Linked DNA regions of Lepisosteus oculatus. The protein of the gene in region 1 purifies or fractionates together with the protein of each later gene. This does not show direct contact. Links are inferred from orthologs where the notes say so. Each region holds a gene or a part of one and is shown in the gene's direction. Other genes may lie near its edges.

Region 1 (7,387 bases):
CTCAGGGAAACAGCAGCAGTGTCACACCTGGGATTTGAACCTGCAACCCCCTCCAGGGCAGAGCTCAGAGATGTAACTGCAGCCTTTGGTCATGGAACCATTTGCTTCATTAGCTCTTATTTCAGCTCCTGTTAGAAGTCGGGAACCCGTAATAATCACTTTGTTGACTCAGATGTAGTATTTCAATAAACTGAATCCTGGAATAGGGCACATTATTTATCTATGAACACCTGGACCTATCCAAAATCAATTAGGTTAATTGCATTTGTTTTAAATACAGAGCAATTCCCTACCCGTATATCTTTAAATGGTGTTCTGTTAAGAGCTAATCAGACAGAAATAGGTGATCAGCTATTTATTGAGCAAACTTGGGGCCTGCTTTAAATCGATCTACACACCAATTACAATTCTAAATCAGAACTGGATCACAGCTTTTAATTGAATTGATGCAGGAGGCTTCTGGCACTCGGATAACCACCATTAGAAGATACCTGAGACGTTTGCACAAAACAGGCAGGTCAGTTTCCAAGTGTCGAAGGCGGAGAACACGGCAGAGCTCAGTTTGCTACATATCTTGGATCAACACACTAACATCTGGGAATATCCGAAATCAATAACGAAGTGGAAGAAAACGTGCTTAAGAAATATAATTTTGAAATTAAATTCGATTCCAATTGTGGGTTTAATAAGCCTAAGCAATTACGAGCTCAGATGGATTGAAAAACGGAAGTTAGCGGGGAGCTGGAGCACCAGAAAAGCGTTGTGTAATTCGTCTGTCTAGCATTGGAGGGCAGACTTGTACCTTAAATTACAATGCACCTTCGCCACATAAGAATTACACATTATTATTTTTTCCGTGTATTTTTTTGTATTTTCGTGACCATTATATTTTTTGCGTTATGTTTTGGTAGGGGGTTCCCAGTTTGAAACTTTTGCAATATGTATGCAGTTCTTGTTCAAGCAATGTTTTTTTTCCCTACAGAGCAAAATTTGCTACATTTTTAGATCGTCACACTTGAAATATAAACATATGTTTACACTCGATTAATGCAAAAATGATGGCTCTCAGGTGGTGCTTGTCTGTAAGGGTGCTTATTGGAAGTTCAGGATTGACTAAATTCTTCATATCTGTCCAAACGCTGTGGAGTTCACGTTTTGTCAAAGAAAAGAGCCGGAAGAGGGCGCTCGTTGTTCTTTTTTCGTCCCATCCGAAGTGAACCGTTGGATTTGCAAACCAATTGCTTGAAAGCAAGTGCAAGACATTCGGTGCTATCCGTTGGGGAATGTGGAAATAAAAGATTTCTGGTTTTGTTTTGTTTTGTTTTTTTTGTTTGTTTTTTTTTTTGGGGGGGGGGGGGGATTTCTGGAAGTGGCTAAAACAAACACCACAGAAACAAACTCCTATGTTGAAAAAAGAAACAGTACTTGAATTGAATATGAGCATGTTTACAAACAAGTAGAGGTCATTCAGCCAGTGCAGCTCATTTGGTTATTGGATATTATAAGTGGCTAACAGATCCAAGGTTTATGGAGTAAGACAGATATTTTTAATATTTTTTACTCATGAACAATATCGCTGTGTACAACACAGGTAAATGTGGGGTGACTGGGCACATTCCAGACATTTGGAATGTGCTCTAATTGTATTCAGTGATGATCCTGGTCTTACACTTGATCTCATCTTTGACAGACAGGCAATGTCGCATCTGCAACATCATTGTGAAACCAGGGGGTTTCACTGTCAGGACCCACTTACTCCACCTTGCTATGCTTCACAATTCATCTTCCAACACTAATATTTAGGATATTATACGAAACGTTTTGCATCATTAAAAGAGGGATCATTTACAAGACAATGCACAACAAATCTGTAATCTCACTGGCAGGTTACCACAATATTTTATTAGCTGTAATCAGATTTAATAAGCATAGATTAAAAAGGTTGTTTAGAATTGAAGAATACAGGATATTCACCATTCATTATAGTGCCATATCCCAATGGTGTCTGATTTAGGGTTGATTACAGTGAGATTAAAAAGATTCATTCGGATAGATTGGTCCAACTCGATGGTTCTCAAACCTGGTCCTGAAGGACCACTACATTATCTGTCCTTAAGTCAAGTCCTTAATTGAAATGTATTTCAGTTTTCTGTTTTGGGTGTTTTTTATTTTTTCACTCAATTCCCCTTTCAACACCCCCCTCTCACTCAGGCGGCGAGTTAGACTTCAGCAGGAGGGAAAAGCAAACACTTAAGTGTCTTTCCCACCTGCGTGTGCTTATCTTGAATCGGTCACCTACAAAGGGGTTTTCATCGCAAAGAAGGGAGCAAATTCTTAACTAGATTGTGGAGGGATGGAGTAAAGTTATCCATGCTGAAGTTATTGGAAACTGTTCATTTTCACTAGGGTGTTTTTGAAACCATGTGCTGATGAGTGCTGGGTCCAGCAAAATGTTTAAACAACATCAGTAACAGGCATCAATTATCACTGGTCATCAAGGGCCCAGTTTGAAGGAAAACCAGACATGGATGTTGCCCCAAGATTGATCTACAGACCACTGGTATATAAATGGGGTTTATATATATGTAAACAAAATATACAGTATATAAACACGTACTCATTATGTTTATGATTGATATGTTTGCAAATTGTGCTGTGGTGTGCTTGAATCCTTTCTGTGAGTCTCCCACTGGGACCTACAATTGTAAAATATTAGGACATGTACAGTATATCAACTTCCTATTCCAGACTTGACACACATAGAAAGGTACAATCAGCCCCCAAAAGCAGTTTAGATTGGAGCCATCTTTTGTATACAGCGTATATAAGTAACTGATGGAGAATTTAAAGCACTAAAGGGAAGTATTCTCATAATTTCCAAGCAAAAATGGTAACTAAAGTAAAATAAAGGGAGAAAGCATCCCTTCCCTAATGGAGCTTCTGTATACATTCCATGTTGCTCAGGTTTTTAACAGGTGAATTTAGTCCACCTGTCCACAAGAAAAGCTGTGCAGAATGGGTTTTCATAAGAAGGTATATTAATATACCACGTGACTTTTGCAGGGGTTCATACTGGGTTGGTACAGTTGAAAGGCAATGTGGACAAGATCACACTGAAGTAGACTTCCATATACCTGATCTGATAACACAGGGGGTTTTGTCTGTCACATGCTCAGCAATTGGCTGTAGCAGAGAGAGAGCACTAAAGTCTACTCTGCATATGTTAAACTAACCAAAATATGGGTTCAATACCCAAAGCTAGGATGAATCCTTCCAATACATTAATCCATCCATGTCACTTGGGAAGATGCTTTCTAGAAACAACTTCACCTTAACCTTTAACTGAGATGGCTTTTTCTTTTACTTGACTTTGGAAGCTACTGCAGTAAACTGCAGCTATAACTGTCCATCTTGATTATGCCACCCCCTTGTAGCATTATTAACATTAAGATGATCCGTGTTGCTATATTCTCTCTTCTCCAAAAAGTATATTTAAATGCGGTCAACATTTCGGCAGACAAAGCCTACATCAGGATGTTTACATCTGTAATGCCAAAACCTCTTCTTACCAGCTTCAATAACTGTTCCAAGACTTGGTTGTACTGTATTATTAATATTACTTCAGTGTATGTTATATATTCAATAAAATGTATTACTGTCTAAATTTGGGAAATTATAGCCCAATCATTCAACATCTGACGTAATCCGTTCCGATATGGCAGAGTTAAGGCAATTTTTGAGTATCCCCTGTACAAAATCACGCCTGATTCGAAACTTTGTTCCTGAAAACAGCTGCCAATATGTATTCCAAATCAAACTGGGTTATTTCTTTTAAAACTGAGGGGCCAAACTTAAATCTACAGGAACGCAAGCGAGGTGACGCCTTTGCGTCTGTTTAAAAACCTAGCCCTGGCGTTTGAGTTTTTTTTTCCTCCTCTACGTGAGTCGCTGTTTGTCGTTAACAGCTAACCCTAAAGCTTGCCACCACAGCGGTAGTGTAACTCTGGAGCAGGGGAGCCAGGGTAGACGACTGGGAGGGGGGGAGGACAAGGCAGCCGTTTCCGAAAAACGTGACGGCTTGGCAAACCCGGCGGTATTGTTTTGAAGCGCCGGCGTGCGCAGCCCCGGCTGAGCTGCTTCCGCTGGAAATCTCTCAGGCAACTGAGCACGCAGAACCAGCGGCGGAAGTGACGCAAAACGACACGGCCGGAACACCCACACAACAACCTGAGCGGTGTGGGAAACCAGCTCGGCTACGCCAATCACAGCGAAGCAACAGCCTAGCCTGCCAGGGCGGGGGAGTCGGATGTCTGTAACGTTACATTTCTGCAAACGTCCTCCCGCTTTCGTGTCTCTGCGTTTTTTTTTTTTATTTTAACAGCAACCAGAAAGGGACCGCGCTTCTTCGGCTGCCCCTATACGTATAACATCTCTCCCTGCAGCAGGTTCTACCCTTCATTAAAGGAAGAACACCTCTCTTTTTTTTTCTTATGTGTGGTGACCGAAACCACTACGGATCCTCAGACGGCCTCGGCAATTGCTCCCTCCGTCTTTAACCAATCGTCGATTTGGGAATCCGCTGGAACCCCGCCTTCATGGCGAATGACGTCTCCTAGCACCAACCCGGGCCGGAACGTTTACCGCACAAGGGCGTGGCTCTAACGGGAAACGACACCCACGCCAGCCAATCCGCGGCGCCGGCCTGCAGACGGTGGCCAATGAGGTCGGGCGTGAGGCGGGACTTTCAAAGCTCGCGGTGTTCTGTTGAATTCCATTGCCGACCATTAAAAAGAATCGGGAGAGTGGAAGTGGAAGAGCGAGAGCGGACGAGACAGACAGACTGGAGAATATTTAAAGAGACAGAGAGATTAATTTAAAAAAAACGGATTAATTCGGAAGTCCCAGTTACCACGGATTTCGGCTGGCTGCCCCTTTAAATCGGAAAACCTTTCTGGATATTTCTTTCCGAAACGCTCTACCTATCTAAAACAAAAAACAATAAATTGAATGTTGTTTCTGTCATGAGTCCGGCCGGGTGCTCCCATGTGAACAGTTTTAAGGTGGAGAATTGGAAACAGAATCTACGACTCATATACCAGTGCTTTGTGTGGAGCGGGACTGCAGAAACCAGGAAACGAAAGGTAAAAAAAAAATGAACCAGAAAAAAAGGACAAAAAAAAAGCAAAATGCACATTTAGTTATGCATAAGCTGTTCCACAGTTGCCTTCATTTAAGCACAGATCCCAGAGACATCATTCGCTTGGGGTATCGGTGTACGAAAAGACAGAAATGTACAACACAGCAGGACCATGATTAGCGTTATGTGTGGAGCTCCGCTGATTGAAATTGGGGGGTGTTGGATGGGAGGCGAGAGGTACCTAACGGTAAACAAAACATCAGCACCAAAAACGCTAACTAATGCTTTCTCCCCGACCTCATCCCTCTTCCCCCCCGGCCAAGGGGTTTTCTTGGTGAAGTGTCGTCTTGCTGTGTGCATACGCAGTAAAGACGGTCACTGAAAATGTTCGGCGAGCCAGCAGTGCCTTGTGGGAAAACACACAGCACCACTAAGCACCAGGAAACGCGAACGACATTCAAAAATATGCCCATTTTCTGCATTGTGCGGTGCTGGTCTCCTGCCTCCGGTACTGCAGCCCGACCTGGACTGCGTGTGTACAATTGGTGCGGCGAGGCGCCTCTCCACCACCTCAGCCGTTTTTGTTCGGACCAGATAGAGAGAGGAGGAGGAGGAGGGGGAGAGGCGGTCACGCATAGAGGAGGAGGAGGGGGGGAGAAAGTAGAACATTTCACGCCACCTGCGTTAAAATTTCGGCGGATTCCACGCGTGGGGGGGGTGCTCGCGCTTGTCCCGGAGCAGAGAGGAGGGTGCGTGGGGTGGTGGGGGGGGAGGAGGCCCACTCCACGGTTCGGACCGTGCTGGGAAGTGGGGGAAATTGTTCGGGACCCGGGCGGCGACAAGGACACCGAACTGCACTAGTTCCAGTCCCAGCGGCGCATTGTTTACCGACCTGCGTCGCCACGAAAGACCGGTGTGTTTGTCGCCTTCTTTTTGGTTTCTGTACAGGCGGGGAAAAAAAATCTCAAACCCGGCACCTCCACTTTAGTCCGCACCTCCGCTAAAGCACCTATTGTTGTAAACAGGAGGGGGAAGAACCGTTGTACCCCTTCCACAACTCGCCCCTTTCCTCCACAGGACCCTTCCTTCGGTAGGGGACAGGCCCCTGTAACCCCCTTTTTTTGCTGACCGTGCACCCCCAGGTCTCCGGTTACCTGCTCTGAGCTGCAGTCTGCTTTTTAATGCATTTTGTTTCGAGTTCACCCATTATTGCATAACCTCTCCCTCACCTCCCACAGCCCCAGCCGGAGCCCCTGTCCTCCACTCCAAACGTGTGCTAAGTGCCTGGCCCACACAGCATGCAGGGTGTGGGGGAATTGAGTTATTAAGAAGGCACAGTGGAGTATTGGTAACAATATCCCAGCCCCCTCTCCACCTTATGGGGAAAAAATACAGTGAATGCACACTCTGCTTATCAAAACTGTCAAGTTCTAATTTCCCCAAACGTAGCCTGATCCACCTCCAGATATCATAGATCACTCTCCTCGCGGAGTTTTGCTTTGTGCTGTTCAATTCAATATTGTGTGTTAGGGTCTTAAGTATTGTGAATTGTGTTGCATTTAACTGGATATTTTTGATGTAGAACGTTAAACCTGACAGTAGGGCCTTTAAGGGTTTCTTGTATCCAGTTTAATAGTGACTTCAAGGCAATGAAAAGACTTCTTACATGTATTGTACATTTTTATTTCATTGTGACAAAATAGGTGCTTCAGAAAGATGCTGGATGGACACCCCTGGTGAGTGCAAATCCTACATGTATTTACATAAATAGAGGCCTGATATTTTCTTTGGTATCTTATATTGAAGTTTCTAACGTTCTGTACACAAATCCGATGCAACTAAAGCATTGGGTGTGGTATTAGGTCAAAAGAAAAATAACCAGCAGGAGCATTTAACAAAGTACTTTAACAGTGTGGTGGTTGTACATTATAAAGTGCAAATTTGAATGTTCTCGGTAAAGTCTGTATCCTGTAATGTCAACTCACTGGAGTGCAGCACGTTCCTAATTCCATTTGGTGTTCTGGGCTCAGAAGCAGCAAGAAAGCCCCAATGCTGGAAGCAGTGCAACAACAAAAAGTAATTAAGGGCTCTAATAATCACATGGGGGCAACACAGAGGGTGCAGTCTTTACTACCATTTCTGCCTTGCAGCACTGGGGCCCTGGGTTCAATCCTGGACCTGGGGTGCCATCCACACGGTGTTTGTATGTTCTTCCCCGATTTGCTCGGGTTTCTTCCGAGTGCTGTGGTT
Region 2 (7,739 bases), on another chromosome or scaffold:
GGGAGAGGCAGGGGCAACAGTAATCACCCGAACAGCATCTCCACACCCTGGTGCTTTTTGTAGCAGAAATTCACTAAGAAAAACCTTTTACCTGTAGCGCATCTGTATATAAGTGTCTCTTTAAGTAGCTCTTTGCTGGAGAAGAAATAGATTCCCTTGTCTTGTCAAGATGTTTGACCTTTAAAACCCAGCTGGAATTGTTATCGATACCCATTCAGACCGAGATCCTGCTTTGGGAATTGTGCCTGGAAAAGCTGCGTCCTCTCCTTCCACAGCCTCAACCCATCCCCCCTCACCCCTGACCCCTGACCTCTGACCCCAGGCCGAAGTCTTACCCCTAAACCCTGATCCAGAGTCAATGACTGGCTTTGTCACGAGGTCTCCTCTACCCAAATGTAGCTCAGTGCATGGGGGGTGGGGGGGGACTCTAGATTTTAAAGAGGCGTTGAGTTGTCTTGTGTGGGCCAGCTGTGTGCTGTAAACACACACACACACGCACACACGCATAGGGAATAAAGCACAGGTGTCTCAGAAACCTAGCAAGGGGGCTGTTTCATGAAAGGAAAACCAAGGACGATACGCCTGCAGTGAAGTCAGCCCAGTGATCCGCTGAGCTTCTCCTTTTTCGAACGGGCAGAGTTTGTTTCTTTGTCCAATATGACTTATTATCATTTTTTTCAAAAAAGACGCACAGGCGCGCACATGGGAGAGAGAGACAGTAGATTTCAAAGACACTGTTGGCCCCCCCCCCCGACGCGTGCCCAAAAGAAAAAGACTCAGACTCGGGCGCCCAAAGAACCCAGGGTCTTCAGCAGCACGGCTGGGTAGCCTGTTCCACACCCCCACCACCCTTGGTGAAAACAGATGTCTCCTGTTGTTGATTTTAAATGCTCTTCCACACAGTTTCCACTGGTTTCCACTGGATCCCCTGCTTGTTAACATGAATACTCTTGGCTGCAAACTTGAATCCCCATCAGTAAGACCCGGGTTGGAGACCCCATGGCCAGTTTTTCTTCCAGCTCAGCTCTCCACTACTTCCCGAAATCCTTTATTCTTTCATTCCTTTCTGGCTTAACATTTGTCATCCTTTACAGTGGCCAAATGGTTCAGAGTCTTCATTATCGTAGTTTTAAATAGAGCTAAAGAGGATTGGGTGATTTCTAATTATTTAAATGATCGGGTCAATTAGGAGATCGGTTGAGTAGCTGAGAGCTCAGCTGGACGCAAAGCTAGACAGTGGAGTGAGCAGGCAGGACTGGAAGGGTCCATTCCCCTATCCATCAGATTACATCCATCCATTCCTGCCTCTATCCCTCTCTCCATCAGATTACATCCATCCATCCCTGCCTCTATCCCTCTCTCCATCAAATTCCATCTATCTATTCCTGCCTCTATCCCTCTCTCCATCAGATTCCATCCATCCATTCCTGCCTCTATCCCTCTCTCCATCAGATTCCATCCATCCATTCCTGCCTCTATCCCTCTCTCCATCAGATTCCATCCATCCATTCCTGCCTCTATCCCTCTCTCCATCAGATTCCATCCATCCATTCCTGCCTCTATCCCTCTCTCCATCAAATTCCATCTATCTATTCCTGCCTCTATCCCTCTCTCCATCAGATTCCATCCATCCATTCCTGCCTCTATCCCTCTCTCCATCAAATTCCATCTATCTATTCCTGCCTCTATCCCTCTCTCCATCAGATTCCATCCATCCATTCCTGCCTCTATCCCTCTCTCCATCAGATTCCATCCATCCATTCCTGCCTCTATCCCTCTCCATCAGATTCCATCCATCCATTCCTGCCTCTATCCCTCTCTCCATCAGATTCCATCCATCCATTCCTGCCTCTATCCCTCTCTCCATCAAATTCCATCCATTCCTGCCTCTATCCCTCTCTCCATCAAATTCCATCTATCTATTCCTGCCTCTATCCCTCTCTCCATCAGATTCCATCCATCCATTCCTGCCTCTATCCCTCTCTCCATTCAATTCCATCCATTCCTGCCTCTATCCCTCTCTCCATCAGATTCCATCCATCCATCCCTGCCTCTATCCCTCTCTCCATCAGATTCCATCCATCCATTCCTGCCTCTATCCCTCTCTCCATCAAATTCCATCTATCTATTCCTGCCTCTATCCCTCTCTCCATCAAATTCCATCCATTCCTGCCTCTATCCCTCTCTCCATCAAATTCCATCCATTCCTGCCTCTATCCCTCTCTCCATCAGATTCCATCTATCTATTCCTGCCTCTATCCCTCTCTCCATCAGATTCCATCTATCTATTCCTGCCTCTATCCCGCTCTCCATCAGATTCCATCCATTCCTGCCTCTCTCCCTCTATCAAATTCCACCCATCCGTCACACACTCATCCACAGGTAGTGGTTACAGGAGCAGCACCAAGTGTTTGGAAACCGCGGGGGTTTTATTTGTGAATAAAAGTGAGCCCGCCCCTCTGATAAAACACCACCTCTAAGCTGCAGAAACCTTGAGAAACGAACCCTCCCCCCACCCAGCTCCTCGGTGCAGAGCACCTGCAGAAGAAGCTCAAGCAGGGCGCTGCATCAGCAGATGCAGGCTGCACAGGAACAAGGAAAGGGTTATTCCCTGCTGGGAAGAGAAGAAAAGAAGCACAACGTTTCGGATAGGGAAGCCTTCTCCGGGAGTGAGCTCAAACACTTAACCTCAACACCCGAAGGAGGATCCATGGCTGAAACGTTCTGTCTCCTTTCTCCTCTTTTCAGCGACAGAAATAAGCGGCACTCTCCCTTTCTCCAAGTGCGGCGGGCCTGAGATTCGGATCAAGAGTCTTTTGGGGGTTGTTTTTTTCCAAAAAAGGCGATAAATCGGTACAAAGGGTTTGTTTGTTTTTTTTCTTTTTCTGAAAATGTGCGGCATTTCGACTTGTTATTGTCACAGATCCTGGCAAGAAAAATGGAGGAAAAAATGTTTTATCTTACGAAGAATAAAAAAAAAACAATATAAAAAACATTCTATTTCAAACTGCTTTCCTGTGTCGTCTGCATGAATCTAGAAATGCATCCGTTTCCATAAAATAATTTCAGCTTCTCTGTGTCCTCACATCCTTCAACACCGCAAGAGGGCTCTGAGTACATCTCAGCCAGCAGCCAGATCACCCTGCAGCTCCCCACTGGCAGCCCCACTGGAGCCCAGCAGTGTGAGCCTGGCCAGTACCTGGAGGGGAGACTCCTGGGAGAGCTGAGGCTGCTGCTGGAAGAGGTGTGAGTGGGGCCAGCAGGGGGCGCTCACCCTGTGGTCTGTGTGGGTCCTGATGCCCCAGTATAGTGACGGGGACACTTTAATGAAAAAAGACACCGTCCTTCGGATGAGACGTAAAACCGAGGTCCTGACTCTCTGTGGTCATTAACAATCCCAGGGTGTTCTTGTTAAGAGTAGGGGTGTTACCCCAGTGTCCTGGCCAAATTTCCCCCCTGGCCTTTACCCCTCATGGCCTCCTAATAACCCCCCTCTCTGAACTGGCTCCATCACTCTGCTCTCCTCCTCACTGAGAGCTGGGGTGCTGGGGAGCTGCACACAGGTGGTGGTGGAGGGGATCCCCATTACCTGTAAAGTGCTTTAAGTGGAGTGTCCAGAAAAGCGCTATGTAAGTGTAAGCAATTATTATTATTATTATTAACTCTGGGTTGAGCTGTTGAAGCCTGTAACCCTGAGCTGAACATCAGGGTTACAGGCACAGCCTGGTGCTCTTCAAGTTTCCCAATGCAATCTGTGACCCCACACCACACCAATTTTCAAAGCACAATAAACTGTGAACAAGACATGTGGGAGAAGACACAGATGTGGATGAAGCCAGGTAGGAGATGGCTTTGTTGTTCGATTAATTGCAGTCGGTGCTGGTTTCCTTGGTGTCACAATAGCACCCAGCCAAGCGAGGCTGCACAGACGAAACAAGGTTGTACTGTTGCAGTGACTTAAACTTTCTTTGTGTTCAGGATGGCTGTGATGCACTACAAATGTGTTTAAAATACAAAAGCATGCATTGTGTACAGAGCAAGAGGGCGGTATCTAAACCTCGGGGCATTTTGATATATTTAAACAATTGTCAGTTGCTGTAAGTGTGTCCCCCAGTATACTGGTTGAACAACACGGCCTTGTTAAAAGTTTCCCTTAATTCATCTGGTGCAGGAGTTCCTCTCTCCTCCCCCTGATCTGCTGTGCAGAACGGCCGCTGTGAGTCTCCCAGGTGGGGCCGCTGGTGCAGAATGATCACTGTGCGTCTCCCAGGTGGGGCTGCTGGTGCAGAATGAGCACTGTGCGTCTCCCAGGTGGGGACTTCTCTTCAGTGGTGAATGTAGCTGTGTGCCCACCTTTGTGCACAGTGCTTTGGGTCTGAAAAAAACACTAATTCAGTGCATGCATCTACATTCAAACAGAGGGAAAACAAACAATCCCGTGCAAAGCTCTTTCAGCGTCTCTCGAACGGAACAGCGTCATTCCACGCGGCGCCCTCATTGCGTCACACGCCGCCGCTTGTGTGACAGCCCCTGCGGCCAATCGCTGCGCGGGAAGGGCGGGGCTGCGCGGGCCCGGAAGCTGGATGTAGTAGTGCAGGGGAAGAGCTGAGCGGGTCCGTGTTCGGGGATCACAGGCAGTCCGGTTGTTTGAAGGTACAGGGCAGCCTCATGGGGTTTCAAATGCAAGGTGTTATGAGCTTTGACGGTAATGGCTTAAAAATGGAAGAAGGCGAGAGAGAATGAAGTTAATTTGCGATTTTGCGATCCAGCTTTCTGCACGAATGCTGCACAGTACGGCAGGTTATCTGTTGGTGGCGAGTTTCGTCGATATGGGCAAATTGGAAATTGAAGGTGACAAAATGGGGACTTCAGGTTGATAGCCGTGGTTCCGGACCGAAAAACGGCTGAATTATTTCAAAGGCGTTCTCTGAAAGTGAGCGCTGGGTGCCAGCGGGAGATTCTGAAGTCGCTGCACTTTGTGCGCGCTGGGAAACTGCTGCACAGAGGCAGGAGAGCTGAAAACAAAGTTAGGAACAGCAAGCTAGAGCTGACTGTCTGACCTCTTCTTTCATCGACAAAACATAACGAAAAGCCCCGAGAGGAACTGTCCTAGTCTTGACATCAGCGCGCGAGAAAAAAAAAGGCGATATGATTGTTCTGATATGAGACAGAGGTGTGCATGAACGGGTTTTCCTCTTCTTCTTCTTCTTCTTCTTCTTCTTCTGTCTTCCTAAATGCGTTTTCTGGACCAAGCCGGCCCTCGGGACCACGTCAGCGCTCGGCGCGAAACTAGGAGCCCCGCGCGGGCAGTAAACAGGAGATGCTGCTTTACACCAAGAGCGGTGGAGGTGTGGAGCAAGCCCGCACGCAGTCCGTGTTGGTTGACCTGTTGTTCAGCTAATCGAGATCGAGGCTTAGTGAGCTCTGAGCTGCCCTATAAGCAAGAGGAGTTGAAAGGTTTACTCCTGTTTGCAATCTCTCTGGTCTGTTTTTGTTTTTTTTTGCCCTCCTAGGTCTGTGAGGAGTTCTTTTCCCCCCTGTGCTGTTCCGGAGGGTCCTGAAGAGAGGGAGAGGGAGGGGAGGGGGGGGGCGTTGGCGATGGGGGACCGCGAAGAGAGGCGGTTCGCGGAGGTGCCGCGTGAGTCCGTTCGTCTCATGGCTGAGAGCGCCGGCGTGGAGCTCAGCGACGACATCGCCGCCCTGCTGGCCGAGGACGTGTGTTACCGCCTCAGGGAAGCGACACAGGTATAGTCCGAGAGGGGGATTCTGGGGATTCAGTGAAGGAGTCCCATAGCCAGCAGCCATATCCCCCTGCAGCTCACCACTGGCAGCCCCACTGGAGCCCAGCAGTGTGAGCCTGGCCAGTACCTGGAGGGGAGACTCCTGGGAAAGCTGAGGCTGCTGCTGGAAGAGGTGTGAGTGGGGCCAGCAGGGGGCGCTCACCCTGCGGACTGTGTGGGTCCTGATGCCCCAGTATAGTGACGGGGGACACTAGACTGTAAACAGGCGCCGTCCTTCAGATGAGACGTAAAACTGAGGTCCTGACTCTCTGTGGTCATAAAAAATCCCAGGGTGTTTCTCGAGAAGAGTAGGGGTGTTACCCCAGTGTCCTGGCCAAATTTGCCCCCTGACCTTTACCCATCATGGCCTCCTAATAACCCCCCTCTCTGAACTGGCTCCATCACTCTGCTCTCCTCCCCACTGAGAGCTGGTGTGGGGAGCGGACTGGCGCCTCATCCAGGTGGGGGTACACACTGGTGGTGGTGGAGGGGATCCCCATTACCTGTAAAGCGCTTTGAGTGGAGTGTCCAGAAAAGCGCTATATAAGTGTAAGCAATTATTATTATTATTATTATTATTATTATTAATTATAATTATTATCCCTGGGGCCCGCTGCGTGCCTGAGCCGCTGGAGCAGACCGGGCTGCGGTTCCCTCCGCTGCCACCAGGGGGCACTGCTCCATCTCGCATCACTGGGGCAGGAAGAGAGTGCTTCGCTCACCCTAGTGTCCCATAGGGGCAAGTTAGCTTTGCAGGCAGGTGAAGACATCACGCCCCTACGGGATCGTTCCTTCCCACCGAACAAGAGGAGAAGACCCGTTGCCCGTCGCTAAAAGTGCAGCCGTTCGCCTCCTCCACCACTAGGGGGCGCCGCTGCACGTCCCGTCCCTGGGGCAGGCAGAGGACGCCCGGCTGCCCTCAGGCTCCTGAGGCGCTGTGCTTGTCTCCCCGCAGAGCGGCTCGCAGTTCATGCGGCACGCCAAGCGCAGGAAGCTGACCGTGGAGGACTTCAACCGAGCGCTGCGCTGGAGCAACGTGGAGGTGAGACGCCCCCCCCGCCCTTGTCTTGACCAGCCTGGGGGAAGATTTTAACCCAGGGCCCAGCAGGTGTGAGCCTGGCCAGTACCTGGAGGGGAGACTCCTGGGAGAGCTGAGGCTGCTGCTGGAAGAGGTGTTAGTGGGGCCAGCAGGGGGCGCTCACCCTGCGGTCTGTGTGGGTCCTGATACCCCAGTATAGTGACGGGGGACACTAGACTGTAAACAGGCGCCGTCCTTCGGATGAGACATACAACCGAGGTCCTGACTCTCTGTGGTCATTAAAAACCCCAGGGTGTTTCTCGAGAAGAGTAGGGGTGTGACTTTTGTGCCGATTTCAGACGCCCAGGCAGGGCGTTCCAGCTTCCTGCAGGCGGAGCTGCACCGCATAGTTTCTGCCAGCAGGGCGGCGCTCTGAGAGCAGCAGCAGCAGCAGGCAGTGTGTGTGTGCCGTGCTGCCCATTTGCAGGCAGGCGGGCCTGCTTGGTTGACAACCCCCCCCCTCCCCACCCCCCCTGCAGGCGGTGTGTGGGTACGGCGCCCAGGACGCGCTGCCCTTCCGGCCCCTCAAGGAGGGGGAGCTGTACTTCGTGGAGGACCGGGAGATCAACCTGGTGGAGCTGGCGCTGGCCACCAACATCCCGAAGGGCTGCGCGGAGACCATGGTGCGAGGTAGGCAGTCCATCACAGGACACGCACACACACACACGCCAGGGCCAATTCACCCCCCCAGCCTGTCTCTGGACTGTGGGAGGAAACCCACTTGAACAAGGGGGAGAACACACAGACTCCACACAGACAGCACCCTGGGGCCCCAGAGCTGCAAGGCAGCATTGCTGGCCACTGCGCCCTGTTTTGATGACATTCCAGCTGGAAATCCTCAGCTGCTGACATCTCTCATGCGTGAGGGAGTGGACATGATA
Region 3 (7,320 bases), on another chromosome or scaffold:
CTCATTTTTGAGTGTTACTGCTGCTTTAAAATTTTGACATAAAGTAAATGGCTTTGATATTACCTTTAAAGATAATAATCACATTATTTTGTACATGCATAAATGTTAATGAGATTAGTTGAAAAATGTTTAAACACGTTTACAGCATTGTTATGACAACCTTATATTTTGAATGTAAGTCTACTTTTGTTTCTCATGCTATACCAAAAATACTATCTTTGCAGAGTGCAGAAAGAACACGTAATACAGCTGTTTGCTCACCAGGGTAGCCTATTTGAAAATAAACTGCTGACTGAGAAGTTTGACTTTTTTCTTCCAGCTCCTCTATAATGTTTCTCCTTTGTAGCCCATATCACTGGTGTTGGCCTCGATCCCCTGGGGAAAGGCACAGCCTTTTCTCCTTTGGCTTGCTTAGCACTAAAGGTAAAATCCCCTGTGACTTAGTGAGATGATTAAATCAAACTAGGACCAGCAGTGAGTGTGTTGCTGCAGTCAACTACAGATGAGTCTAGCAACCAAGCCCTGTGCCAGAACTTATCCACATAATGTAGTGTATTTAAAGGACTAGTCTTTATCACCTTGATTTTCTGTTTCATTTGATTTGACTTTCCTGCTATGTGGTTTGTAGAATTCATTGGTATAATTTCAGTTTAGAATTTGATTTATTTACTGATCTAAAAAGAAAACTTTTACATACGAGAATTCTCTGAAAAGACTTCTGAAAACTAGTTGCCAGAAAGTGTAAAGAAAAGAGTGAAAAGGGGGGTAATTATGAAAATCCCATGAGCAAAAACTGCATATTCCCAATTGTACTTTTTATTTCAGGTCTGTCAGGTTCTTATTGTTTTTCAATCATATTTACAATAGTTAGATATAATTGCAAATAACATGAGGATGAAGTATTAAACAAAATCACACAAAACTTACAAAAGGGAATGCAATACAAAAAGCTGAAACAATAGAGTTAGATAAATGGTAGAAACTACTCCTTTTACATTCTGTTTTATGTTATTGTCTTTCTTTGCCTTGATAGGTAAATTTGAAAGAAAATTATAATGTAAGTGCTCTGTTACCCTTTATTAATAATTTCTCTTTAATGCTTGTTAAAAAAATAAAGCATTTTACCACTAACAAGTCAGAATCAACACTTATTCTGTTAGAAAAAGCTGAACAAGATTCCATTAAAAAATAATGTATAGAAATGGCAGACAGTTTGGTTATAAGAATAGTTTCCTAGATCCTAAAAAGCAATAGAACAGTAGGAGGATTTGAATGAAGAAACACACACAGGACACTTAAGGTCAGCAAAAAGATTCAAGTTAACATAAATCAAATAGTGCTTCCAATGGAATGAGATTAAATACAGGAAAGCAAAAGTTGCAGTAAGGTCAAAATACTCTATACTGAAATATGCACATCCTGAGAATGACATTATTTTTTCGGTGTCCACCCCAATGGACAAGGAGACGTCATGCTCCTGTATGCTGAATAATAATATGTCACCCATAAAGTTATTTTCAATTAAAAACAACTGTATCTTTGCTCAAATTAGATTAAGAGAGCTATTGCATTATTTGGCCAATTGAACTGTGTCCCCACATCTAAGAAATGATTTAATGTGATACAACAAACAATTGCACTTTGGAAGTGGAGGACAGGAGCTGGATACCCCAGGCCAATGATTTTTAAAATTCCACTCAACCCAAAGCATGAGATAATACAGTGGAAGAGAGCTGGATAAAATATTTAGTCAATAAGACTTTTAGATGATTGCCATTTAAGCAATAGGTTGACAACTGATTATACACAATATGAATCTACACACAAGTGACCCGGACAACAATAAATATAAAATGAATATGAGTAAAATTTATTTAAAAATATTTGAGGTTCACCCTGAAATAATTTAATTTAAAAAGAGTTCTGCTTTATCTCAACTGTGTTTATCTCAACTGGAAGGCAATCTGTTCACATTTTGTATGATAGTAATTGATATAAATCATCAATTTAATTTTTTCATGATGAGGAGACTAATGTGAATGTCAGGTACACAACTACTAAACTGTAGATTTGACTTATCTTAGAGAAATCATATCTCCCTTTCATACATAAATAGCCAACTATATAAGAAATATCTGAAAATACCAGCTGACACCATTTATTTTAGTTATTTTTTGGGTTGATTTATTTTATGTTATTGACCATGAAAGGAAATGGGTCCAGAGTCTTGTTATTTTTGGCATCTGCTGCTTTTCATTGGCGTGAAAGCTTAGCTTGCTCTAGTTTTCTCTTGAGTCCTACACATCTCAGTGTCAGCTCAGCATGCCGGCGCCTCAGCATCTCAAGCCTCTGACTCAGAGCTTCGGAGGCATCTACCTTTTCTTCAAAGTCCCGGAGCAAGGTCTCATTTCCCAGAAGGCCACACTTCTGCCGGAGCTTCAGGTTGTCCGTGCGGAGAGCATCACGGGCCTGTTTGGTCTTGGTGAGGATGTCCCTCTTCCGAGCTACCAGGGCTTCCACCTCTGTAAGTTGAGCCTTCTTTGCCTGGTTCTCCACCTGGACAAACTGCAGTTTCTCCTTGACGTGGGTGAGGACCTGGACTGTGCTGGTAATCTTCTTCCGGAGTTTCAGGAGCTCCTCGTTGCGCTCCTCAATCTTCTCGTTGTACGTCTGGTTCTCAATCTTCAACTGCTCAAAGTCGATGAGGTGCAGCCCTTCAGCCAGCTCCTCCTTAGCCTTCAGCATAGCCTCAAATTTCCTGACCTTATTCTTCAGCTTGATGTTCTCTAGCCTCACCTGGACCAGCTCGTTCTCTTTCCGCTGCTCATTGGCCTGGATCTGCTCCACTTGTGCGACAGCGGCTTGCTTTCCTAGGCGCCGGCTCATGGCTGACACTGCCACCTCCTTCTTGAAGCCCATGAAGACCTTCCACTCACTGTCCACCTGGCTCACTTTTTCCTGGGACTGGGCTCTCAGCTCCTTGATCTGCTGCTGGTAGCTCTCTGAGTCCCGCCTGTGCTGCCATTTCAGGTCCTCCATTGTAGACATGTACTTGAGGTAGCGCTGCTCCTGATCTGAGACTGGCTTCTCTTTCTCATGACGGATTTCCTCCCCTGTCTTCCTGCGGAAGTACTCCACTAACTTGTTCTGTAGCTGACCGCTCTGCTGGATAATATTCGCCTTTTCCTTCTTAAGTTCTTTGTACCTTTCCATGTATTCTTCATAGTTTATGCTTAGGGCTTCTTCCTCCTCTTCCTCCTCCTCCTCTTCTTCTGTTGGGCTTGTCTCTCTTTCTGGCGCCTCCAGCTCCAGCTCTAGGGGAGCATTTTCCTGCTGGGCCACTGGGCTGCCCTCTCGAGACAGCAGCTCTCCTATGATCTGCTGCCCTTCTTCCTCCTCTTGCTCTGCTAAAACTTCACTAGAAGGCACAACTTGCTTCTCCTCCTCTTTTACAGGTGTTGATGCATCTTCAGCAGCACTATCTCCTTTTAACTCTTCTAAGGTTTCAGCTTCAGCTTCGGCAGGTCCTCCTAGAGACTCACCTGAAACCTCATCTGCTGGCCCCTGTCTGGTGCCGGGAAGGTCACTGTTAACTTCAGGCAACTCTTCCTTTTGTTCCGTCCCAGCCTCGGTACCATCCTTTTCAGCTAGCAGTTCAGCAGTGCAGTCATTGTTATTTCCAGCTTCATTAGATTCTCCCTCGAATGTCTCTTCTTGCTTTTCGGTTTGGGACAAACCGTTAGTGTTCTCCGCTTCAGGAAGGTACTCTGTCGTTTCCTCAACAGTTTCGAGTTTGGGGGGCTGTGACGCCTCCATCGCAGTACGAAATAATATAAGAATAATAAGTCACTATTTGTTCCTATCCCGCTGTAAAATAAATGTAAATCTATTGTTAGCTGTAAAGTTAGCTCAAACTAAACACTGGGTCCAAAAAGAAAAAAAAGAACCCAAAACTGAATCACCTAGAAATTACACCTACTGTACCTTTCCTGTCCAACTATTTTATAAACCTAATGCGGTGTCTTTCGGTTGCCCCAGAAACGGGGGCGTGACCCAACCAGCATGCGCGTGATATTTATATTAATGAGACGCAGGGAGCAGAGCGGTAGCTGCTCAGTGCGCATGCGCCTGCCTTGGAGGCTGTGCAGCTTCAACAACAAGCAGCAGCAGCCTGCAACATGGCCGACCTGGGCAAGAAGTACTGCGTTAATTGTCTAGCAGATGTAACGAACCTGCGGCTTCGTTGCACCGAGTGCCAAGACATCGAACTCTGTCCAGAATGCTTCTCTGCAGGCGCCGAAATAGGCAATCATCGGCGATGGCATGGGTATCAGCAAGTAGACGGGGGACGCTTTACTCTTTGGGGTCCCGAAGCAGAAGGAGGCTGGACCAGCAGGGAAGAGCAGTCGCTACTGGATGCGATCGAGCAATATGGCTTTGGAAACTGGGTAAGTTTTCTTTTATTTTCCCACGGGATGGAGAAGAAGAGAGAGGATTACGTTTTGATGGTGACAGTTGAAATTGCAGTACTCCAGTATTGTTCTGTTTCAGCAAATGTCACGTTTGTGAGTGAGTGAAAAGTTAATTTGAAATCGGTTTCAATCAGGAGGACTGGCCAAACTATAGGTAAGATCAAAAATTACTTTGTCGGTTTTCTGAGAATGTAGAAAACGCGTCAAATTAAAGATTTATATAAAATAAAAACCTGTGATTATTAAGAGCGTTTAAACATTTTAGGATTTTGAACGCTTCGAGTGGAAAAAACTATCGCATCGCAAATACGTGAGATTTTAAATGCTATAGTAAAAATGACTGTGTAAAGAATGTGTGTTTTGCACCATCAAGAAAGTAAAAAAAACATAAATTCTTCCCGTACTACACTATACATTATTAAGAGTTTTTCTTAGAATATCCATAAACAGACACCTGCGTGCTTGTGCGATTTAGCAATTTGTTTGCTGCCATATATATGCAATTAGATATAACCACAGGCAATTATTCCAGTTTACAGGAACGACGTATTTTTGCCTACAGAAAGCTTGTGAATAGATTTTCTCCATGGATGTCTAGGACTTTGTTGTGAACATTGCCCTAGTCCAGTGAACATTGTTCACTGGTGATAGAGAGTGAGTTTTCAGTGCTGTTGGTATCCACAATGTCTGTATATCATTTTAAACCTTACTGTTCTATTTTGCATAAAACAGCATGTTCTGTTTGTGCTAAGCTTAATTTTTAGTTCTGTAATTTATCTGCATGATTGTTACTTACTGAGGGAAAGTTTTTGTATGTTTTGAGTTATGCCAGATAAGGCCATTGGCTAAGCAAATACTAAGACGTGTGTAGTTTCTCTGTAACAATGGCTGCCTGTGTAAAGATTTGTATCATTGCCCCACTAACGCAATTGTATTGTTCCAGGAGGACATGGCAGCCCATGTTGGAGCTTCAAGGACGCCACAGGAAGTCATGGAGCACTACGTGACCATGTACATCCACGGTAACCTTGGCAAGGCCTGTATCCCGGACAGCATCCCAAACCGAGTGACGGACCACACATGTCCAAGTGGGGGGCCGCTGTCTCCCAGCCTCACCACCCCACTGCCGCCCCTTGACATCACCGTCGCCGAGCAGCAGCAGCTGGGCTACATGCCCCTGCGCGACGACTACGAGATCGAGTACGACCAGGACGCCGAGACGCTGATCAGCGGGCTGTCGGTCAACTATGATGACGATGACGTGGAGATCGAGATGAAGCGGGCCCACGTGGACATGTACGTGCGCAAGCTGAGGGAGCGGCAGCGGCGCAAGACCATCGCCCGCGACTACAACCTGGTGCCGGCCTTCCTGGGCAAGGACAAGAAGGAGAAGGACAAGGAGAAGCCGGCTGCCGGGGGGGCGGCGACAGCGGCGGCGGTGGTGGCAGCGGCGGCTCCGCCAGCAGCGGCCGGCTCCTCGGCCGCGACGCCAGCCCCCAAGCGCAAGATCACCAAGGAGGAGAAGGAGCAGCGGCTCAAGCTGAGGCCCCTCTGCCAGTTCATGGCCTGCCGGGAGTTCGAGGAGTTCTTTGAGAATATGCACAAGGAGCGGGTCCTGAGGGCCAAGGTGCGGGAGCTGCAGCGCTACCGGCGCAACGGCATCACCAGGCTGGACGAGTCGGTGGAGTACGAGGCGGCGCGGCACAAGCGGGAGAAGCGCAAGGAGAACAAGAGCGTGGCCCAGTCCAAACGGGGAGGGGGCGGAGGAGGTGGGAGCGGGGGCGGCGGCGGCGGTGGTGGTGGCGGGGGCAAAGAGGAGGGCAAGGACAGCGAGTTCGCCGCAATCGAGAACTTGTCCGGCTTCGAGCTGCTCTCCGACCGGGAGAAGGTCCTCTGCAACTCTCTGAACCTCAGCCCCACACGCTACCTGACGGCCAAGACCATCATAATCAAGGACCACCTACAGAAGCGCCAGGGGATCCCCTCCAAGAGCCGTCTCCCTAGCTACCTGGACAAAGTCCTCAAAAAGAGGATTCTGAACTTCCTCACCGAGAGTGGATGGATATCGCGGGACGCCTCTTAGTCTGTCTTACTTCGTTGCCCGTTTCACTTCATTGCCAATTTGTGTGTGGTTTACTTTTCACAAGGTGTTCTGTGTGCTGTGTCTGACCTCTGTAAGTTCCGAATGGGCCAAACTACTGGACGTTATTTTTTGTTTCTTTCTACGGGAGCGTGATAATGCTGGGACTGGCGAAAGAAAGAAGTCAAAAGCTGTTTGCGGTTTATTTAAGCCTTTTTAAAGCTGAGCATGCGAGAAAACAAAATGGCAATAACAGAGTAACTGAAGAACAACGTTTGCTTCTCTCCTGTGATCTTTGCCCCAGGGCTCAACTACAATCCCTGAACTTACCAATGTGGGTGCTGTTTTACTGCAGCTCTTCGTCACTCGTGTATGGAAAAGATCTCCGTAATAACTTTGAAGTCACAACGAGGCACCGCCTTTTGTGTAAGGGAGGGAGACCCATGCTATTGTTAACATTTATCTCCTACAATCCAAAAGTCATGCTGGATTCATTTGGCTTTGTCTTGAGAGATAAATGCACGGAGAGAAAAAGTGTCATTTCTGTTTTAGGAAAGAAACTGCTTTGTACAGTTTCAGGCAGCTGGGATATTCATTTGGCCTGTTGAGTCCTTTGGGGGGGGGGGGGGGGGAGTTATTTTGTAATACTGTATATGCATCTCCCTTTTCTATTCTCGTTCTCTGAGTTTGTTCGTTTTTGTTTTAGTTGCCAAAATGTTTGTAAGAGTGAAGCTGTCCGAGCGGGCTTTGTCAAGGAAGAAAGAGCCA
Region 4 (7,853 bases), on another chromosome or scaffold:
AAATTAGACTTGGGCTAGTGAGGTAGTGGTTATGATGTAACTCAGTAAAAGGAGAAGGTCTGATGCAGGTGTAGCTCTGCATCAAACCATATTGTAGGTGAGGGATCAAACCATATTGTAGGTGAGGTCCTATTGCTAGGCCTAATGATGATGTCGGATTGGTCCTCATAGAAAATGTGGTTAAAGCATAGAGGTCATGCTCACAGAATGCCAGCAGGAAGAAGTGGAAAGGCTAATGGTCTGTGATTAATTGAATTTGCATGGAGTGGCCAGTGATTGTGTTTGGTTCCTCCCCATAAACAAAAGCTGTAGGAAATTAACAAGGATGAAGGACAGTGATGTTTGCTTAATTTTGTTTCTGTTTCTCTGGAACACTGCATGCACTAATATTGTTTCCTGTTGTACAATGTTAACCAGGTGTTTGTGATTCCAATAATATAATAATTGCCTGCTGCTTTAGTAAGATCTAAGTCATGCATCTTGTTTTTAAAACTCATAATTAGATTTATTCACTTAATTTTCCAACTGATGTGTCATATTTTCCCTCAGCATCTCCCCTCTACTTTGCCTCCTCCTTCCATTCAAGTTTAAATATGTTTGATTTTGTCTGTCAATCCCTGTGCCAAGATGACTGGTGCCCTCTTCATTTAGATGTAAACAAGAAGGCTGCATAATGTATTTATTTATAGATGGATAGAAATGGATAGCAAAAGGTTCTTTCTATTGGTACTTGAGATCTTAGAGGTCAACTACAATGGAAGAGGTCAGTGGAAGAAAAACAAGTAAAATAACGCTTGATATATGAATCATATCAGCCAGTTGAATTTAAGTGAGATAAATGGTACACAGAGAACTCTCTGGAAAATAAAAGACTGATGAGCAGGCATGGTAGTGTGCTTTCTTTTATTTAATATCGTCACCGAATAAATAGAAATATCTTTCACAAGAGCTTACAGGCTGTCATAAAAAGAGTTATGTTTACTCTTACCTTGGTAACTGTATGCAACAGAAGTTCACCATCACTTCCTTGTTGAATAATGTAGCCTGAGAAAAAAAGGTAGAAAGACAAAGCATAAAACTGCTGAAGCACAAGTATTCTTCAGGTGAAGGGTAAATATATTCAAGTTAGCGAGATTGTTGGAAGACCAATTAAGAGCAGTATAAAATGCACTAAAAATTGCAGGGAAGTATGAACAGCCGTTTGTGGCTCAAACACAGCCAACCTTGGTCTTTTAAAGGGCTGCTTTTTATAGCACCTATCTGTTAAAGATCTGCTTAATATGCTTATAATTATTTGCATACTGTAAATGCACAAATTGTGTATATTTGCTGTATTTGGACCACTGGTCTTCCCAATTTATACAAATCAACTGCAATATTGTTTATGCATTATGAACAACGTATACATTTTAGATCATTCTTTTGAAAACACTATTTGTTTCTTTTTAAAATGGCATTCTTCTCCTCTTCTGCACAACCATTGTATTGTTATGTGGACCAACAAACATAAATACTGTAATTGAAGATACCTCAGTTAATTAAAGAGTGATATCTATAGATATATTTTTCCAATATCAGTGAAAAGACAGTTTCACTTCTGATAATAATTGACATTTTCTGATTTGTGTGGTTTCACTGATCATTCCCATTGGCAGTTTCAGTAGTTTGAGAAATTCCATAAAAGTTTTTTCTTCAACACAATCAAATAATAACACTGGACTACAACTTTTTTCAAAAGTGTTGTTTCCTCAGAAATGTTTGTTGTTTATGATAGATCTCTTGATGTTGAACAAAAATACAATTTCAGACTGTTTGTATCATGTGGGATTATTGAGAAAAAATAAATGAACTTTTATACAATATAATGCGTTTAATCACATAATGGTGCTGAGCCCTTGCATTAGTTCAACTGAGCTAAAAATGTTTTGTGGATGATTTTCATTTGTACTCGGTATCTGATGCTTCTCTGATCAATGTCCAACAATAATCAGCCAGCATTAACGGATTCCAGTTGCCCTGATACCATTCTTCCATCTTCGTGATGTCCTGGGGAGACCTTTCATCATGCTTGTCACTGACCAAGATTTGCATGGAAGAAGTCCAAATGCGAATGAAGAAAATGAATCTTTAGTGACATTTTGCACTTCGTGGACTTGTATATTTGAAGCATGTTGTCAACCAACTGGACATAGTTTGGTGCTTTGTAGTTGCCAAGAAAGTTTTCAACAACATTCTTGAATGCCTTCCATGTGACTTTCTTCAAACTGTCTGTCATTGATGGCCTATTTGATTTGTGGAGCAACGAAAATACCTTCCTTAAACTTGGCATCACTTATTCTTAGAAAGATCTGTCTCAAATATTGAAATCCTTCACCTTCCTTGTTCATTGCTTTCACAACATTTTTCTTGAGTCCACGCTTGATGTGAAGAGGTGGCAAAATATCTTTGTTGGATCAACAAGTGGTTTATGTGCTACATTCTTCTGCCCTGGAACCAAATGCTTGTGGAGTGGCCAGTCCCTTTTAGTGTAATGAGAATCTTTAGCACAACTATGCCACTCAGAAATGAAACAACAGTACTTGGTGTATCCAAGCTGCATTCCTAGTAGCAGTGCCACTAATTTCAGATCACCACAGATGCATTACTACTCCAGTGTTTTATGACCTGCACTGGGTGCAATGGCATACAAAGGCATGTCTGGACACAAGAAAGAAATAACTTTTCCAGCTTATATTGACGGCAACATTTTAATAGGCCAAAATATTATTTGAAATAACAAATATAGGCGGTTTTAAAAAAATGCTGTGTGATATGGAAATTCCATGGTTACTATGTGATCAGCAGCCCCAAATCCATCAGATTTACCCAAATGTATGCAGGAAAACAATGTTGTCCAGTGTAATTTAATTTTATTACACAACCTCTCCTGTGTAATAAAGTCAGTGTGGTAATTGTTAAACTTTTGGAAAACAGAATACCTTTTTGATGTCTATTTAAATATTAGCCCATGTTATTGAATGAATTCATCTATTTATTGATAGACGTCTTGATCTGGATCAGAGGTGTCCAGTCCTGGTCCTCCTGGTCCTGCAAGGCTGATGTGTCTGCAGGTTTTCACAACCGCAGCACCTGAAGAGTAAAGCTTAAGTCAGTAACCACCTAGTTTAGCTTGATAAGAGATGAGCTGGAATGAAAACTCATAGATGCACATGGCCTGTTCAATGCCTGATCTTGCTCAGTGGCTCCCAGTCCTAGTCCTGCAGGAATACTATAACGGAAGCCGGTCCAGGCTCCAGCGATGCGTAGTTCAGGACCGTATGCAGACGGTATAATCAGGAAGTAAGTGGAGAAGGACATCAGGGGAGGAGACGAAGAGGACCAGGGTGTGTTGACAGACAGTTCAGGTAGTCCAAAAGGGGGAATCTGGGGTGCAGTCCAAAGTCCAAAACCGGGGGATCCAACCAAGACTAAACAAACACAGTTAAAAACCGGAACAGGAACAGGGAGTAAAAACCAGGGTGACGAGGCCATGCCCTCTGAGCCCCGGAGTCAGATGGTCAAGACGCTGTGATAAAGCCTATGCCGTCGGGTCTCTCCTGGACCCGCTGGTAGGTGGGCTTCCGGGCATCCATCTCCCAACGCTGAGCCAGGAATAGTGAGAGTGCCAGGCTTTAGTAGTGGGACACCTATGTTTTATGTGGTTCTCTCTTAATTCAGCTGAATGGCTAAAACTAATTAACTAAGAAAGTCACAATTAATTTGGAATGTCAATTTACATTACATTAGTAATACATTATGAACTTTACTATAAATAATATGGTAATTTAGCGTCATCTAGTGATTACATTCGGAATGACGTAATTGGTTCGAAAATGTCTACTTGGTAAACATTCATTCGTGTTTGTATTGCGACAATTATAGATAAAGTGGTTCCTTTATGTAACGCTCAAATATCTGCATGGAAATCTGAAATGTGATAATCAGTCTTAAAACAATTTCACAGAGCAAGACGATTTCAATTTTATGCCACCCACAGTTAATTAATTTTAATTTACATTTAATTTTTGTTCCCAGCACTTCAACTGATACTTGAATTGGGAATTAAGATAACTGAGCGTGATGGTTTTCAGACCTGTTGCAACCTGCTTTTGTAAACGTAATGTAGTAACATATTCTAGAAATATAATTGCGCGTTTTGTAAAAACAAGTTATGTGGCTAATAACAGTTATTTTAAAATATAATCCCATTATAGGATATACATTCAATAACATCACATAGACGTCACAGACATTTGTATTTTAACATATGCGACAAGAATCAGTATTTTTACAACTGCAAATATTCCTCATTTTGTAGAAATTGTAGAAATAATGTTGGTCAAATACAACAATATAGCTCTAGATCTATACTGTGCTGTTCTCTTGCCCGGAAAAAAAAGATTAAACTTTTTTCTTTTTTTACTGAACTATCTCTCCCACATTTGCACTTCTTTTTCATCCAGCCGTCACTGACGGCTGAAGCCGAAATGAGCCGAATGTGACGTCAGGTGCTTCGCAAGTCCCGTGTCGCTGACTGGCGAAGGAAAGGGAAAAAAGCAACAAGAAGGAAGAGCAATGGCGACATTGGATCGCAAACTGCCCAGTCCGGATGCGTTCCTGTGCAAACCCTGGTCCACCTTTATCGACGCAGCCAAATTACACTGCTCTGACAGTAAGGACCCGGCATAATAAAGCTTGTTTTCCACGCAGAGTCATTCAAATTGTGCTCCAACGCTGTTAAATTGTTAGAGTGGCCACTGGTGTCCTCCATGCTTCTCTTTTTATAATAAATACACAGCCTGAGAAATCAAATAAGTATGTAGAATCAAAGGGGTTCACAGTTTGCTGCTGTTGAGTTTTAAGTGTCGCCGTGTTTCCCGTTGATACGTTATCTCTGTATTAAGTATCTCTGTGACAGATGTCCTGCACTGCTGTCTGCTCTGTACTGTAGCCGTACGTTCGCACCTATGTGGGCCAGGTACACAAAATAACTGAGATTAGGCAATTCACTTTTCAGATTTACTTGGAGAACACTCCTGACGTTTCTCTCTTTGCGTTTGTCCGCAGATGTAGATTTAGAAGAGACTGGCAAAGAGGTTGGCAAAGGCAGGGAAGTGATGAGACTCAATAAAGAAGGTAAGTTGAGAGGCGAATGGTGTTAATTTCAGACTCATACACACAGGAGGCTTGAAGTAACGCACTGACAACGCGTTACAAGAACCAGGCACACTTTCCAAGTCCTTACAACCTGGGTTTTGTGTGCGAGTTTGCCCGATAAACTTCCCCATAGAATAAACTTTGCCGCTGCGCCGCTCGAGTTTCACTACAGCTGTGGACGGAACACGCAGGGCTGCTTGCCGGTCTGCAAGACATCCAGCGTGATGCTGGCGCACCGGTAGATGGCTTTCAGCGTGGCACTACAGAGAAGTCATGATTAGGATCAGATATTAGTGATATGCCTCTCGGAGATGTACGACGCTCCGTGGGCTGTGGAAGTGTTCAGGAAGGTGCGATTTAACGTGCGTCATTTTTCCCCCCGGCCAATAAGCTGGCGTCTGTTGGGGGAAAAGCTCTTGCTATGTTATTAGGGCATCATAAGGTTTAGTTTATGATGCCTCAGTTAGCAGCAGTTCGTGGCGTTTTCACTTCAAGCTTCACCGTTTTCTGTGGCAACCTGTAAAGAGTTTTAGTAGTTTTACTGGTGGCGTAGCAAACAGGTTGTTCAAAGTCCTGTCCCTGCAGAGATGCTTGTCATAAGCAAATAGGCACACAGGTTTGAAAGAAGTTCTGCTTATTTTACAGCTTTACAAAGCTCTACTGGAACTTCGATGGGGTTAAAACTCTGTGGTAGCTAATGCAAGGTAGGACTGCTTTCAGAGATTACATAAATGAGGTCTGTGTCCTGGTTTGTTCATTCTAACGGAGAATGTATTCAGGAGATTAATTCGAGGCATGTAAGAGGTTGGTCAAGGATAGCTTTTACATACTGTCAGTGGAGTTTAGGTCTAGTGATTGGGAGAACATGGCAGAGTTGTGACACCTTACTCTTTCCATCTTTGCATTGGACTTGATTGTGTGAACTGGGACATGATCTTTCATGTCCTGGCTTCTCAGGACAGATGACTTTCGGCATGCATAGCAGAGTTACTTCCTTGAGGCTCTTAATGAACTGGGCAGAACCTGTTTGTCTTTGGAGTCAATCAGGTGTGACAGCCCAGGGGAGCTAGAGCCTCATAGTGTAAGAGACAGGCCACATGTTAGCTCTTTATTCCTGTGAGGACAATATCAGCCTGCTGGATTGGTCATTTCTATAGAATTAAAAACAAACCGTTGAAAACTATAAAATACCTTTTTTCTATATAGGCAATGGCAGGTGTACAATTTCAAAATAAGCACTGTCTATAAACTCAAAGCATGATATATTTATATTCATAGTATGAATATGGTACCATATAATTAACATTAACTTGTCTCAGTGTAAAATTATGTTTTTCATACATTATGGGTAGCACAAATGAGAATAGCTGTTGAATTAGGAATAATTCATATTTACATATTATTTTACTGATAGATTTTTCCAACCCACTGACATTTGTACAGATAGGTGTTTTACTGGCATAATCTGAGAGCAGTACTTAATGTGAGAGTGCAACAGCAATGCCACCCCTGGGATTTGAACCCGCAACCTTCTAGTGATGAGTCCAGAACCCTAACCACTACTTCTCACAACTGCTTTGGGAGAGCTGGCTGGAGTTTACTGGTGTTCTTTTTTCCATGTATACATCTTGTGAACAGATGTGAATCATTTGCGAGCTGCATTAGAGAAACCAACATGTCATAGAGCAGGTCTCCAATTAATATGTTGCATTATTGATAAGTGAGGCAACTCCTACCAGCAATGCAGTGCCACAGCTTTGCAGGGCTTCGGTTGAAGTCCAAGCGCCTCCTTACTTGAGCCTGTATAGACAATACATATTAGCCAAACAATTGGTTCTGAAAAAGTTATGCTATGTACAAATGTACCCTAGTCAATTTCAGAATCCTCTCTTTCTACCTAAAAAGGCTGAGATACCGTACTGCTTACCCAATTAAAATTGTGGTTTTTAATTACATTGTACAATCCTGGAATCTCTATGAATTTTCTCTAAAAGATGATTGGTGTGGTGTATTATGTGTTGTTCATGAAGACAAGCTACTGTTTTGTAAGAGTTATATTTAGTTTATAGTCTAATGTAAAAAACAAGAGAAAAACAAATTCACAATACTGCACACAGCCACTCCTTCATGCTTTTAGCAGCAGATTGTTTGCATATTGAGTATAATATGGCAGTAGTGTTTGAATTTCATACAAGGCCTGTCTAGGTGGAAAACTAGGTTATCTTGAGGAACCGTACCAGAGCCCAATTTCATTTACACATAAATACATCCATTCTTAACCATAATTAGAACCATGTGAATGGTGGGATCTTCATTGCATGCAAAGACATAATCGCTACTTTTCCTAAAGTAAATTCCGTTGTGGTTGGTGTAATTTGCATATTCAGTTGCACTCACAGTTTTGAGATATTCAGTTCTGTGTTTTAGTCAGTCTTTGCTATTATCCAATTCGCTGTTTGTGATCTGTATAAAGGTGTGGTTTGTAGCTTGTGGGACTTAAAGTTCCCTATAGATTTTTATTACCTGTAAGAAAGGTAGTACAGATTGCCCTGTTTTGGTCATTCATGGAGTAAATTGATTTGCTGTTTCATAGAGGAAAAACCACAATATTCTCCTTGAAAAATATGAAATGGGAATCTGGCACATATACGAGTACT

The links.
Region 2: the proteins of usp22 (region 1) and taf6l purify together in Homo sapiens (affinity purification with mass spectrometry; 3 studies listed by BioGRID and IntAct, with this or other methods). This does not show direct contact. The link is inferred for Lepisosteus oculatus from reciprocal best matches to the Homo sapiens genes USP22 and TAF6L.
Region 3: the proteins of usp22 (region 1) and tada2b purify together in Homo sapiens (affinity purification with mass spectrometry; 4 studies listed by BioGRID and IntAct, with this or other methods). This does not show direct contact. The link is inferred for Lepisosteus oculatus from reciprocal best matches to the Homo sapiens genes USP22 and TADA2B.
Region 4: the proteins of usp22 (region 1) and atxn7l1 purify together in Homo sapiens (affinity purification with mass spectrometry; 3 studies listed by BioGRID and IntAct, with this or other methods). This does not show direct contact. The link is inferred for Lepisosteus oculatus from reciprocal best matches to the Homo sapiens genes USP22 and ATXN7L1.

What each region holds. Positions count from the first base shown.
Region 1 is NC_090714.1:4,545,745-4,553,131, forward strand, and holds the start of usp22 (ubiquitin carboxyl-terminal hydrolase 22), read left to right. Parts: upstream 1-4,229; 5' UTR 4,230-5,021; coding exon 5,022-5,141; intron 5,142-6,032; exon of another isoform or gene 6,033-6,050; intron 6,051-6,840; coding exon 6,841-6,873; intron 6,874-7,387. UniProt on the Homo sapiens protein: Deubiquitinase that plays a role in several cellular processes including transcriptional regulation, cell cycle progression or innate immunity.
Region 2 is NC_090713.1:21,503,710-21,511,448, forward strand, and holds the start of taf6l (TAF6-like RNA polymerase II p300/CBP-associated factor-associated factor 65 kDa subunit 6L), read left to right. Parts: upstream 1-4,574; 5' UTR 4,575-5,162; coding exon 5,163-5,173; intron 5,174-5,513; coding exon 5,514-5,745; intron 5,746-6,735; coding exon 6,736-6,822; intron 6,823-7,337; coding exon 7,338-7,488; intron 7,489-7,739. UniProt on the Homo sapiens protein: Functions as a component of the PCAF complex. The PCAF complex is capable of efficiently acetylating histones in a nucleosomal context. The PCAF complex could be considered as the human version of the yeast SAGA complex.
Region 3 is NC_090696.1:42,383,261-42,390,580, reverse strand, and holds the start of tada2b (transcriptional adapter 2-beta), read left to right. Parts: upstream 1-4,123; 5' UTR 4,124-4,178; coding exon 4,179-4,448; intron 4,449-5,415; coding exon 5,416-6,555; 3' UTR 6,556-7,320. Other genes in the region: cfap184 (cilia- and flagella-associated protein 184), read right to left, coding at 2,254-3,816. UniProt on the Homo sapiens protein: Coactivates PAX5-dependent transcription together with either SMARCA4 or GCN5L2.
Region 4 is NC_090702.1:39,511,796-39,519,648, reverse strand, and holds the start of atxn7l1 (ataxin-7-like protein 1), read left to right. Parts: upstream 1-4,421; 5' UTR 4,422-4,614; coding exon 4,615-4,711; intron 4,712-5,106; coding exon 5,107-5,175; intron 5,176-5,868; exon of another isoform or gene 5,869-5,893; coding exon of another isoform or gene 5,894-5,900; intron 5,901-7,853.